3 linked regions of the Pelodiscus sinensis genome follow. The protein of the gene in region 1 purifies or fractionates together with the protein of each later gene. This does not show direct contact. Links are inferred from orthologs where the notes say so. Each region holds a gene or a part of one and is shown on either strand. Other genes may lie near its edges.

Evidence for each region.
Region 2: the proteins of PCNA (region 1) and RPA1 purify together in Homo sapiens (affinity purification with western blotting; 7 studies listed by BioGRID, with this or other methods). This does not show direct contact. The link is inferred for Pelodiscus sinensis from reciprocal best matches to the Homo sapiens genes PCNA and RPA1.
Region 3: the proteins of PCNA (region 1) and CDK4 purify together in Homo sapiens (affinity purification with western blotting; 5 studies listed by BioGRID and IntAct, with this or other methods). This does not show direct contact. The link is inferred for Pelodiscus sinensis from reciprocal best matches to the Homo sapiens genes PCNA and CDK4.

Annotation. Positions count from the first base shown.
Region 1 is NC_134738.1:703,746-707,487, reverse strand, and holds the start of PCNA (proliferating cell nuclear antigen), read left to right. Parts: upstream 1-1,292; 5' UTR 1,293-1,388; coding exon 1,389-1,609; intron 1,610-2,094; coding exon 2,095-2,192; intron 2,193-3,742. UniProt on the Homo sapiens protein: Auxiliary protein of DNA polymerase delta and epsilon, is involved in the control of eukaryotic DNA replication by increasing the polymerase's processibility during elongation of the leading strand.
Region 2 is NC_134731.1:875,247-878,988, reverse strand, and holds the start of RPA1 (replication protein A 70 kDa DNA-binding subunit), read left to right. Parts: upstream 1-1,049; 5' UTR 1,050-1,082; coding exon 1,083-1,286; intron 1,287-2,279; coding exon 2,280-2,327; intron 2,328-2,910; coding exon 2,911-2,989; intron 2,990-3,742. Other genes in the region: protein-lysine N-methyltransferase SMYD4, read right to left, coding at 82-226, 916-1,049. UniProt on the Homo sapiens protein: As part of the heterotrimeric replication protein A complex (RPA/RP-A), binds and stabilizes single-stranded DNA intermediates that form during DNA replication or upon DNA stress.
Region 3 is NC_134729.1:2,456,744-2,460,485, reverse strand, and holds the start of CDK4 (cyclin-dependent kinase 4), read right to left. Parts: upstream 2,968-3,742; 5' UTR 2,822-2,967; intron 2,331-2,821; 5' UTR 2,315-2,330; coding exon 2,097-2,314; intron 555-2,096; coding exon 419-554; intron 239-418; coding exon 71-238; intron 1-70.

The sequences.
Region 1 (3,742 bases):
CAACTATTTGTTCCCCATGTAAGGACTTGTTGATTATAATCAAGTCACCTCTTTATTAAGTTAAACAGATTGAGCTCTTTGAATCATTCCAAGGCATGATTTCCAATCCTTTCATCTCATGGGTCTTCTCTGAATCCTTTCCAGTTTTTCAACATCCATCTTGAACCACGCTGGTCACAGGGTGGAGGCAGAGTGGAGAAGGCTTTGCATGCTCCCTCACTCCCAGGTCCTAATTGGCCTGGGGGCAGGGAAAGCAGCTTTTGCCCACCTCTGCTACAGAGTATAGCATTGTGGATACCGGAAAGATCCTCAGAGGCTACAAATCAGTTACATCACCACATAACCCACCAAAATTGTTGCAAGTTGGCAAACTCAACAGCTTGACCTATACAACAACCCAGCTGGCAGCCTTCAGGAAATCGTCATTCAGCCCATCGGAACATCACATTGCCATAGAACCTTCAGAATTCCAGTATTCCGCATTGGCCCTTCCCATGATGCTCATGGAACTCCAGAACCCCAACATTCCAGTCTGCCTCCGCAAATTCCACTCATTGCCACCACATAAACCTGGGGCCCCAGCTTCCTCGTAACAGCCTATACCTCCCGAGGAATGTACCAGGATCCCAGAACCCACAGGAGCCCACTGCTCCATTCAGCAGCAAACATACATATTTGCAACGGACCTAGAGCCCTGATGTTCCACCCAGCAGGCTAAGGCCTACAACTCCCTGAACGTCCCAGCACGAAGAGCCACCTTCTCCACACACATTCCATCCAGCTAAGCCAGTGGAACATTGGTGGACCCAACATTCCATCTAGCCACTTCCACAGAACCCGTGGGTCCTCTGTGTTCTGTCTGGGAATCTTGGGAGTCCTCACATTCCACTTATCAGCGCCCTGGACACCCCCACCATCCCTTCTCAACTGCCCACAGAACGCTGGGTCCCCAGCAGAGGAAGGCGAAGCTGTGCGGACAGAAGAGCGGAGCGCTGTGATTGGCACGTGCGTACGGACAGTGAGAGCCCTGCGTTGATTGATCGCATACAGTAAGCGACGGGCCGACGCTCCTATGTTTGTGTTAGCTCATGAAGAGACGTAGGGCGACGTCATGATTGGCCAGCAACAGGCATGGGGCGGGATTTCCGCTGTTCTAGGATTAGCCGAGAGCCCTTCTTCAGGGGCAGGACTACCGGTTATCATGGAGGCGTTGATTGGTGTTCGAGGCGCCCTGAGGGCGGGGCTTCCGGCGGTGACTCGAGTATGATTGGTGGAGAGCGCCGAGTGGGCGGGGTCGGGAGGCGAGGGCAGCGGCGCTATAAGAGGCCGTTGGCGCGCAGTGGAGGCACTCGGGGGGTCTCTGTGGAGCGGCTGAGCGCGGCGACAGGATGTTCGAGGCGCGGCTGGTGCAGGGCTCGGTGCTGAAGCGGGTGCTGGAGGCGCTCAAGGACCTGATCACCGAGGCCTGCTGGGACCTGGGCTCGGGCGGCATCAGCCTGCAGAGCATGGACTCGTCGCACGTCTCGCTGGTGCAGCTCACGCTGCGCTCCGAGGGCTTCGACACCTACCGCTGCGACCGCAACATCGCCATGGGCGTCAACCTGGCCAGGTAGCGGGGCTGCGGCCCCTGAGGCGGGGCGCGCGCGGCATCCCCGCGCCCGGGGTGGCTCGAGCCCCTCCTGTCGGCCGCCAGTCTGGCGCCTTTTCTGTCGCGCGCGCGGGCTTGTCGGCGGAGGTGACGTCACTTCGGCGCTGGCGCGCTGCGCCCGGCCTCGCTGGCGGGAAAGTTGCACGTGGGGGAGGGGCGCTGAGGCTACGGGCCTGTGGCTAGTGGGGTCCGCCCCATGGCGCCCAGTTACGGCTTGTCAGCGTGCGCGCTCTCCTCCTCCCCCCCCCCCACCGCCGCGTCGTGGCCTGGGGGCGGGCAGGTTCAGCAGCACCTGGAGCTGTTCCTCTGCTCCCCTGTCACTCGCGCTCATCTCCCTTCCCAGGCTCGTGTGGAAATCCTGCACCGGGGGCCGCTGTGTGAAATGGGTGGCTGGGACGCAGCTCCCTGTATTGCAAATAAATCCCTTCAAATTCTTTCTTTCTTAGTATGTCCAAAATACTGAAGTGTGCTGGCAATGAAGACATAATCACGCTCAGAGCAGAGGACAATGCTGATACGCTGGCTCTGGTATTTGAGGCACCAAGTAAATATCTCAAACCCATTCTTTTTTATTAACATATTAATGCTACTGTAATTTACTTGAGATGGGAATGCCTGACAATTTCCCTTCATATGTTTCTCTCCTTGTCCAGATCTATTCTGCTCCCAATAATTTTCTGTTCATTGAACTTTTTGAAACTTGCCTCTTTTAGAGAGCGATAAGGGATTGACTCTGTGCTCACAGACTTGCAGAGGGACAATAGGGCTGCGGTCTGTTTTGTTTCATTTCTATATACTATTTATTTAAAAACATTCTTGCTGTGAACAAGTATGCTATCTCTGGAGATAAAGCCACAGTTTGAGAATTGCAAAACTAAGCATCTGGGATGGTATCTTCTAGACCAGGGATGGCCCATCATTTTTTATACAGGATTCATTCTAAGATTTTGGAAAGTGGTTGAGGGCTGCACTCTTCCATGGAGGAGGTGTGAGGTCTGGAATGGAGGTTGGGTGCAGAAGGGAGAATGCAGTCTGGGAGGGAGTTATGACCTAGGGAAGGAACTGGGGTATAGGATTTGGGGATATGACCTCATTGATTGTATGTTATCTTGCACTGGATGCTATCTTGCATTTAAGCTGTGACTTATAGACAGAGTGGCCACCAGGGCACCTGTGCTTTTTCCTCTTCTTTTGAAAACTGCCTCTTCCCTGTCTGTACACGCCTTTTTCTGGAGAGCTCGTTCAGAAAAAAGGCTTCTTGTGGAAAGAGGCTTTACCAATGTTGGAAAAACCCCTCCTGATCTCTTTTGAAAACACAATTGGTGTGTGGGTGCAAGTGAAGTTGGTTTTTTTTAAACTGCTGTTTTTCCGAAAAGACTATAGTGTAGACATAGCCTGGGAGAAGGGGGTATGGATGTATGTGGGATAGGTTCTGGCCAGGAGACTTACCAGTTAGCAGCCAAACAAGCCAGCCATGTGCCTGAGCGAGCAAGCAGGAAGGTAGCTGCCTGTTGTTCAAACAAGCAACTCCCGCTGGCCAGTTTCTCTCTAGAAACTGGCAAATAAGATTGTGCTGGGGGTGGGAGCAGCCTCTGAATCTTCCCTCCAGATGCAAAGAGGAAACACCCCACAGCTGTGTTTTCTGAGCAGCAAGCAAGAGAGCCTGCTTGGGGCTCCCCACCACCTCCATGGGCCAGATCTGGTGGCTTGGCGGGTTGTATTTTGCCCAGGCCTGTTCTAGACTGATCACTGAGTCCTATTGGGTAGATAGGAAGATAACCTAAAATCTATGCATACGTCTCTGGAACACCCTTAGATTGGGTCCCTAATTCAGGAACTATTGGAACTCATTTACAAAACTTTTCTTAACCATTACATTTATATATTCTCATACTATAATATTAAAATGTATAATCATTATTCCATGATGAGATCTTTGAGCTATAATGTATCTTAATTACAACTATCTCTAGATGGGTCTGTTCTTCAAAGCATTTTATCAAAGAAATTTGGTTTCAATCAGTAGATCAGGATCTATGGATAGATCTTGGAGCCTCTAACAGGTAATCCTGACTGGTTTGGCCAGGAAGCTAT
Region 2 (3,742 bases), on another chromosome or scaffold:
CAAGTCTGCATGTGACAGCACTCGGTGGCCAAACCTGCCCAGCGCAGCCACAGCCGAGCCGCCACCAGACCCGCCGCACACCTTGCTGTAGAGCCCGGCCGCAGCCGCGTAGTCCCGGCCCTGGAAGCGCTGGGTCCCCTCCTGCTTGTAGAAGCGGGCGGCGCGTGGGTCCTTCCCGACCCCGACCCGGGCCGCCAGGCTCCGCAGCACCGCCTCGTCCGCTGGCCTGGGGGGCGGGAGAAGAGTCGGGTCGGGGGGGCCGGCGGGGGGGAGAGCGAGGGAGCGGGAGGAGGGGCCGCTCCCCGGGGCCGGCGGGGGGAGGGGGGGGCCGCTCCCCGGGGCCGGCGGGGGGAGGGGGGGGGCCGCTCCCCGGGGCCGGCGGGGGGAGGGGGGGGGCCGCTCCCCGGGGCCGGCGGGGGGAGGGGGGGGGCCGCTCCCCGGGGCCGGCGGGGGGAGGGGGGGGCCGCTCCCCGGGGCCGGCGGGGGGAGCGGGAGCGGGGGGGGCTGCTCCCCGGGGCCGGCGGGGGGAGCGGGGGGCCGGCGGGGGGAGGGGGGCTGCTCCCCGGGGCCGGCGGGGGGAGGGGGGGGCCGGCGGGGGGAGGGGGGCTGCTCCCCGGGGCCGGCGGGGGGGAGGGGGGGGCCGGCGGGGGGAGGGGGGCTGCTCCCCGGGGCCGGCGGGGGGAGGGGGGGCCGGCGGGGGGAGGGGGGCTGCTCCCCGGGGCCGGCGGGGGGAGGGGGGGCTGCTCCCCGGGGCCGGCGGGGGGAGGGGGGGCCGGCGGGGGGGAGGGGGGCTGCTCCCCGGGGCCGGCGGGGGGAGGGGGGGGCTGCTCCCCGGGGCCGGCGGGGGGGGGGAGCGGGGGGGGCGCTCCCCGGGGCCGGCGGGGGGAGCGGGGGGCTGCTCCCCGGGGCGCTCACCGCAGCAGGGGCGCGCAGAGCCGGAAGGTGTCCCGCAGCGGCGCGGCCTCGCACAGCGCCTCCCGCAGGGCCGGGGCCAGCGAGCCCCACCGCCCCCGAGCATGGGCCCGCCAGGCCTCCGCGGGCAGCTCCATGGGCGGCGCGAGGCTCCCCCGGCAGCTGCTGCAATGGCGGCGCCCGCACCCCAGAGGCTCCCTTCCGCCGTACGCGCGCCAGCCAATGGGGGAGCCGCGCGGCTGACGTGGTGCGTGCGGAGCGTGCGCGGTGACGCGGCGGCCGAGCGGGCTGCGGCGGGAGCATTTGGCGGCAGCGCGCGGAGCCGGAGCCTGTGGCGCAGCATGAGCGCGCGCCTGAGCGAAGGGGCCATCGCGGTGAGGGGGGGCTAGTGCGCGGGGCGGGGCGGGGCGAGGTTTCGGGGTGCCCGTGCAATGGGTGGGGGTTGCGGGGCCCCCCCCCGGGATGGGCGAGGGCGGGGCGCCCCCCCGGGATGGGCGGGGGCGGGGCGGGGTTGCGGGGGGCCCCCCCCCGGGATGGGCGGGGTTGCGGGCCCCCCCCCGGGATGGGCGGGGGCGGGGCGGGGTTGCGGGGGGCCCCCCCCCGGGATGGGCGGGGGTGCGGGGGGGCCCCCCCGGGATGGGCGGGGGTGCGGGGGGGCCCCCCCCCGGGATGGGCGGGGGTGCGGGCCGGCCCCCCCCCGGGATGGGCGGGGTTGCGGGCCCCCCCCGGGATGGGCGGGGTTGCGGGGGGGCCCCCCCCCCGGGATGGGCGGGGTTGCGGGGTGCACCATGCGCTGAGACGAGGGGGACAGTCCCCGGGCCGGTGTGGACTGGGGGAGTCCGTCCTGTTGGCCCCGTGGAGCGGGGAGGGGAGCGCAGGCTGCTGAGGACTGTGACTAATCTCCCCTCCCCCAGCTGTCTCCGGAGCACCCCGGGGGGGGGGCAATGTTGGGGTGTGCCAGAGAGAATTCTGAAGTCCTTGAATAAGTTACAGTCTGTAGGAAGTAGAACTACTTTCAGCATCTCCATAGACTGCCTGAAAGGGCTCAACAGGCTACTGTGTGAGAAATGATGAACTAGCAACTTGGCCTGTTACTTCCCATAAAGTCCAGGGATTTCTTAGGTGAAACACGTCTCTCAGCACATAGTCTTGCCCTTTTCCTTGTACCAGCAGTGTGATTCCTTCTACAGTGAACAGAACTTTTCAGGATGTTCACATTGCTGGCATACTATCTACGTTTGATTTAGCACTTTGGGAGCCGTTTATTATAATTAGTCTAGTTATTTATTTGCTAATCTCCCTGGTTACAAAGTTTAAAGAAAATCATTTCCAATCAAAAGGATTAAATCCTCTATCTTCCTTTACAGGCCATAATGCAGGGAGAGAATAATTTAAGACCTGTTCTCCAAGTCATTGTGAGTATTCCTTCAAATGTCCTCTTACTCGTGTGACCTGTAGCTTAATGTACTTGTAAGTGTATGTGCCGTTTTACAAATCCATAAAGACAAGGTACCTAACCTGGCAACCATTAAGTTTAACTGGTTAAATGATTTGACAGAAGTGGGTGAGCTGGAGAGGACCCTGCACTGTGGGCTGAGACTTCCAACCCCGCTCTTGGCTGTCAGCTCCCAATCTGGGCTCGCAGGCTGGGAATCTGCAGCATCACAAGGGGTGGAAGCAGCAGCCTTGTGCAGGGCTGGAAGTGGCAGGCTCCTTCCCCTCCCTCCCCACCACTTCTAGCTCCGTTTGAGCTGCCAAAGAAGTGAAAGTCTTGTAGGTGAGTAGACCAGTACTAGCAACTTGTACTTGAAAGGCTCATTGGCATGAATCTGCACAAGCATGTTTTAGTCAGTCTGAGAGAGGCTTTAATTGAATGTCATCTATCTTAGTTTTCTGTTTTATGAGTAAGCTCTCCAGAACAGGTGTCAGCTCTTCGTTGTTTCTAATGTATGCCTGTAAAATCAGATCAGGGCTAAGAATTCAAGTTTTTCCTTCTAGAACATCCGAGCCATCGCCACAGGAAATGGGCCACCTCGTTACCGTGTGCTGATGAGCGATGGGGTGAACACACTCTCCTGTAAGTTATGCATTGTCACAAGAATTTACAAGTACATGGCTAATAATTAGACCCAATGGTCAGAATTAATGACAGTGGTATTTGCTGCTGAACTGAGTTCCAGAATGTGAATGGTATAGAATTTATTTTGATGTTGGAATCTGTAACTGTATTTTATCTTATAAATAAACTCCAGCTTTTCTGAGTTGTTGCAGTGTGTCCAAGAATTTGTTTATTATAGAGAACAGCTCAATTCTATGGAATGGTGATTAGCGACTATCTTAATAATGGTGGTCTGGGTGGATTGATTTAAATCAAGGTGATTTGAGTCATGAATTTAAATCAAGTTATCAAAGAAGCTTAGATTTAATGTGCTTAGAGTGCACTTAATTTTGGAGTAAACCCCAAATTTTGGAGTAAGCCCGGATTGAACTCACTGGCCCCTCTGGGGTTCTCTTGGAAAAGATAAGTTATGCTGAAGAAAAATAGGTAATTATGATCTGGACCATGATGTTCCAAAATGAGAGGCATGTATTTTGTAATATCTGATAAGAAAATGACAGTCAGTGGCAACTGGCAACTCTAGATTTCTTTTACTGTAGCTTTCTATATTGTATACTTGAATGACAGATTCTAATCCTGGTTAACTAATTAAAAACAAGCTATAAGGATTAGCTAAGAGAATTTTTTTTTCAGCAAAATGTAATACAGCAAACAGCTTGGGAATTTACTTGTCAAATCACACACTAAAAGGCATAGAGTCTTGATGAATGA
Region 3 (3,742 bases), on another chromosome or scaffold:
GAGGCTGCTGCCCCAGGGTGAGAGGCAGAACGCCCCGCCGGGCGCACACAGGCCGGAGCTGGGGGCTCACCACGGGGGTCAGGGCCATCTGGCAGCTGTAGATCCGGGCCAGGCCGAAGTCCGCCAGCTTCACTTGCCCGCTGCTGGTCACCAGGATGTTCTCCGGCTTCAGGTCGCGATGCACGATGCAATTCGAGTGCAGGAAGTCCAGGCCGCTCAGGAACTGGCGCATCAGCTCCTGGCCACGCGGGGTGGGGTGGGGGGGGAATAGGGTCAGATTTGGGGCCACAGAACAGGAAGGAGCCTCGGGGGGGCAGAGTCCTCCCCGGCCGCTGAGGCCAACCCTGTCGTGAGAGCCCCGCTCTCTGCAACATTCCTGGGGCGGGAGCCGTGGGGCAGGCCTCAGTTTCCCTCGTACCTTTATCTTCTCCGCTGGCAAGCCAGGGGCCGGCGCCTTGTCCAGATACGTCTTCAGGTCCTGGTCCACGTGCTCGAAGACCAGGGTCACCTTGGTCTCCCGCTCCGCCCGGGCGGTCGCGCACACGTCCATCAACCTGCCGGGCGGCAGAGCAGGGCGTTGGTGGGGGCCGGGGGCCCGAGTGCGGAAGGGAGGGGCCAGGCAGGGAGCTGGCGCCCCCCTCCCAGGAACCCCAAGATCTGGCTCAACAGAGGGACAGACCAGGGCCTGTCTAGAGGGATGGAACAGGGCTCAGGCCCCTCCTGCGTCCCAAGCTCGTGATGTGGGGCCAGACTTCCTGAGCCCCCAGCACCAAAGCCCAGAACAAGGGAGCTGCAGCCGATTGTGCAGCGGCAGACGCTGCAGCCAGGTAGCCCCACGGCGTTCCAGACTCAGCGGGCTAATTCAATCAGCCCGTCCCTGGCCCCACTAATCAGCACAGGACACCAGATCCTTCCCCCCCTGCGCCCCCCGAGGGGACTCCCGGCCAGGCTGGGCAATGTCTGTAGAGCTGGGGAGGGGGCGGGCTGTCTCGTGGGGTCGCTCAGGGCTGGGCCGGCAGAACGTGCCGGCCCCACAGGCTCCTCTGCGGGGGAGCCCTCGCGCCGAAGGCAACAGAGCCCCCCTCTCCGAGGAAAACCCGGGGGCGGGAGGGGAGCGGCTGCACTAGGCCCACTCACCATAGGAAGCCACCAGGCAGCAGGACAACGCTTAAATAGCTCCTGCCAACCCCGATGCACCCCCTGCCTCCAGGCCCCCAAAGCACGCCCTCCCCAGCCCTGCCCTGCCCCCACCCTCTGCCCCAAGGGCCCGCTGCTGAGGCTGGATTTTTAGCACCTCCCCTAAAATGGCTGTTTACCGCTGAGTGTCTGGGGGGGGAGGGGGATGGAGACCCCACCCACCAGCGACCTCCCCCCCTGCACCCCCGCGTCTGGAGAGCCGGCGTCAGACCCTCGGCGAGGTGGAACTGGCTGGCAGCGAGAGGCGCATGGAACAGGCCCAAAGGCGGGGGCCAAGGCCGGGGAGGCTCCCAGCAGCTCTGGGGCCTCCCCCGCCCCCTCCGGCGCAGGCGGGCCCCTCGGAAGGGAGGGGACTGACATCCTCTGCCAGGGGAAACCCGCCAGCCAGCCCTCGCAGGGCCCAGCCCGGCCGCTCTCCCTCCCTGGTCCCGTCGCAGCCTGGCTGGCGGGGAAGGAAGCCGCATGTTTCCCAGAGCTGGAAAAAGGAGCAACAGGGATCGGCTCCTCCAGGAAGCCAGGCACCAGAGAGCAGGCCAGGGTGCTGTCCCGTGAACGGCGTCACAAGCAGGGCCCCCCCCCCCCGCAGAGCTGGCCCCCCCTAGGCAGAGCTGGGCTCCTACACAGCCCCCCGGATCGAAGACCACCGTCCCCGCTCCCTCCCTCCCACTCTCACCCCCAAATCCCCTCTCCCATCCTACCCACCCCGAGGGAGCTCCCCATGGGATACTGGGCCCCCTTCTCGCACAGCCCAGCGGGAAGGGGGCGCTGGGTCCCCCAAAACGAACGCCCGTCAGTGCAAGCTAAGTGGCCCATGTGACCGGTCACCCCGTGCAAATTCCTCTCCCCCCCCCCAGGTCTCCGCTGGCTCCCCGGCGGGCAGGGCGCCCCCAGCCCCTCACCGGACGATGTTGGGGTGGTCGAAGTGCTCCAGGCGCTTGAGCAGCGCCACCTCGCGCACGGTGGACAGCGGCAGCCCGTTCTCGTTGGTCTGCACCCGCACGTTCTTGAGGGCCACGAACTTGCCACTCTGCAGGTCCCGGGCCTTGTAGACGGTGCCGTAGGCGCCGACGCCGATTTCCGCCACCGGCTCGTACTGCGCCCGCATCTCCTTCGCCATCCTGGCACCGCGCCGGCTGCGGGGGGAAAGGGCGGCGGGTTAGGCAGGCGCCGGCGGAGGGGGAAGGGACGACCCAGGGGTCCCCCTGCACCCCACGGCCAGACCCCCCCACTCAGACACCGCAGGGGGCTCAGGATAAAGGGGGGCCCTTCCACCGCGCCCCCCAACGCTCCAGCAGGCCGAGCCCGGGGGGACCCCACACACGCCCAGCGCCCCACGACCTCCACGCCGCCCCCTGCAGCAGCGACCACGGCCCCGCCCCCCGGGGCGACCCTACAATAACAGCCCCCCCCACCTGGCCACGCGGGCGCAGGTCCAGCCCCGCCGGGCGGGGGGGGGGCTCGGGGAGCAAAGGGCCCCCCCACCACGTGCCGAGGGGGAGGGGACGAGGCGGGGCGGCCCCGGGGATCCCAGGGGAGACCCCCCCCCCGCGTGCACTGGGGGGGTCTCGGGGGCGGGGCTCGGGGCGGGGGGAGCTGTGGGGGGGGGGGGGCCGCGCGGACTCACCCCGAGGCGGCAGCGCAGCGTCGGGGCCGGGGCCGCGGGTGTCGGCGGCGGGGCCCGGGCGGGGGCGGGGCCGGAGGACCGGAACCAGCGAGACGGGCCGGCCGGAAGGGCCCTGGGGAAGCCCCCCCCCCGGCCCCTCCCCCCTCGCTCCCGGGGGGGGGGGGAGTTCTGGCGGGGGGGGGGTCCCCTGGCTCGGGGGGGAGGGTCCCTAACTGGGGGGGTGCCCCTAGAGGGGGGGTCCCTTGGCTGGGGGGGGCAGAGGCTGAGCCCCCCCCGCTGGGCCCGGGTAACGGCCCTACCACTGCTGCCAGCCGGGCCGCTGGCCGTGCGCTCTGTCCCTCAAGGGCCCCCCCCCGCGCAGCCCCCTCCCTGGGACCTGGGGGGGGCAGGGTCCGACTCGCCCGCGGGGCCTGAGCTCGGTCTGAAGGGGCCCAGCCCCCCCCCCAGGCCTGTCGTGGGCAGCTCGGAGGTGCTTCCGCCCCCCCCCCCATCTCACTGGTCCCCAAGGCAGCAGCAAAACCCTCCTGGGGACCGGCCTGTCTGGTGTAACCCGCCCCCCCCCCCCCCGGGCTTGAACCCTGAGCCCTCTCGGGGACACGGACCGCCGCATTGCCGGCAGCAATAGTGAACTGTTATCCTCTGGGGGCGCCCGCCGCCTGGAAGAGAGGACCGATTGCCGTAGCCCCTGGGAATCCCAGTCGTGGATCTCCACTGGGCTGGACACACACGCGCGGGCTACGCCCGGTGCCAGCCTCTGGCATCGCAAGCAGGCGTCGCTCGGCCCTGCTGCCTTGGGGCGGGGAGGGGGGGGGCAGACTTTGCTTCCTTCTCTCAGCCTCTTGGGAGCCACAAATTCCTTTGCCACCTGGACCCGTCGCTGCCTGGTCGTCTTTCCTTCTGGGCCATCCCGGCTCCGGGATT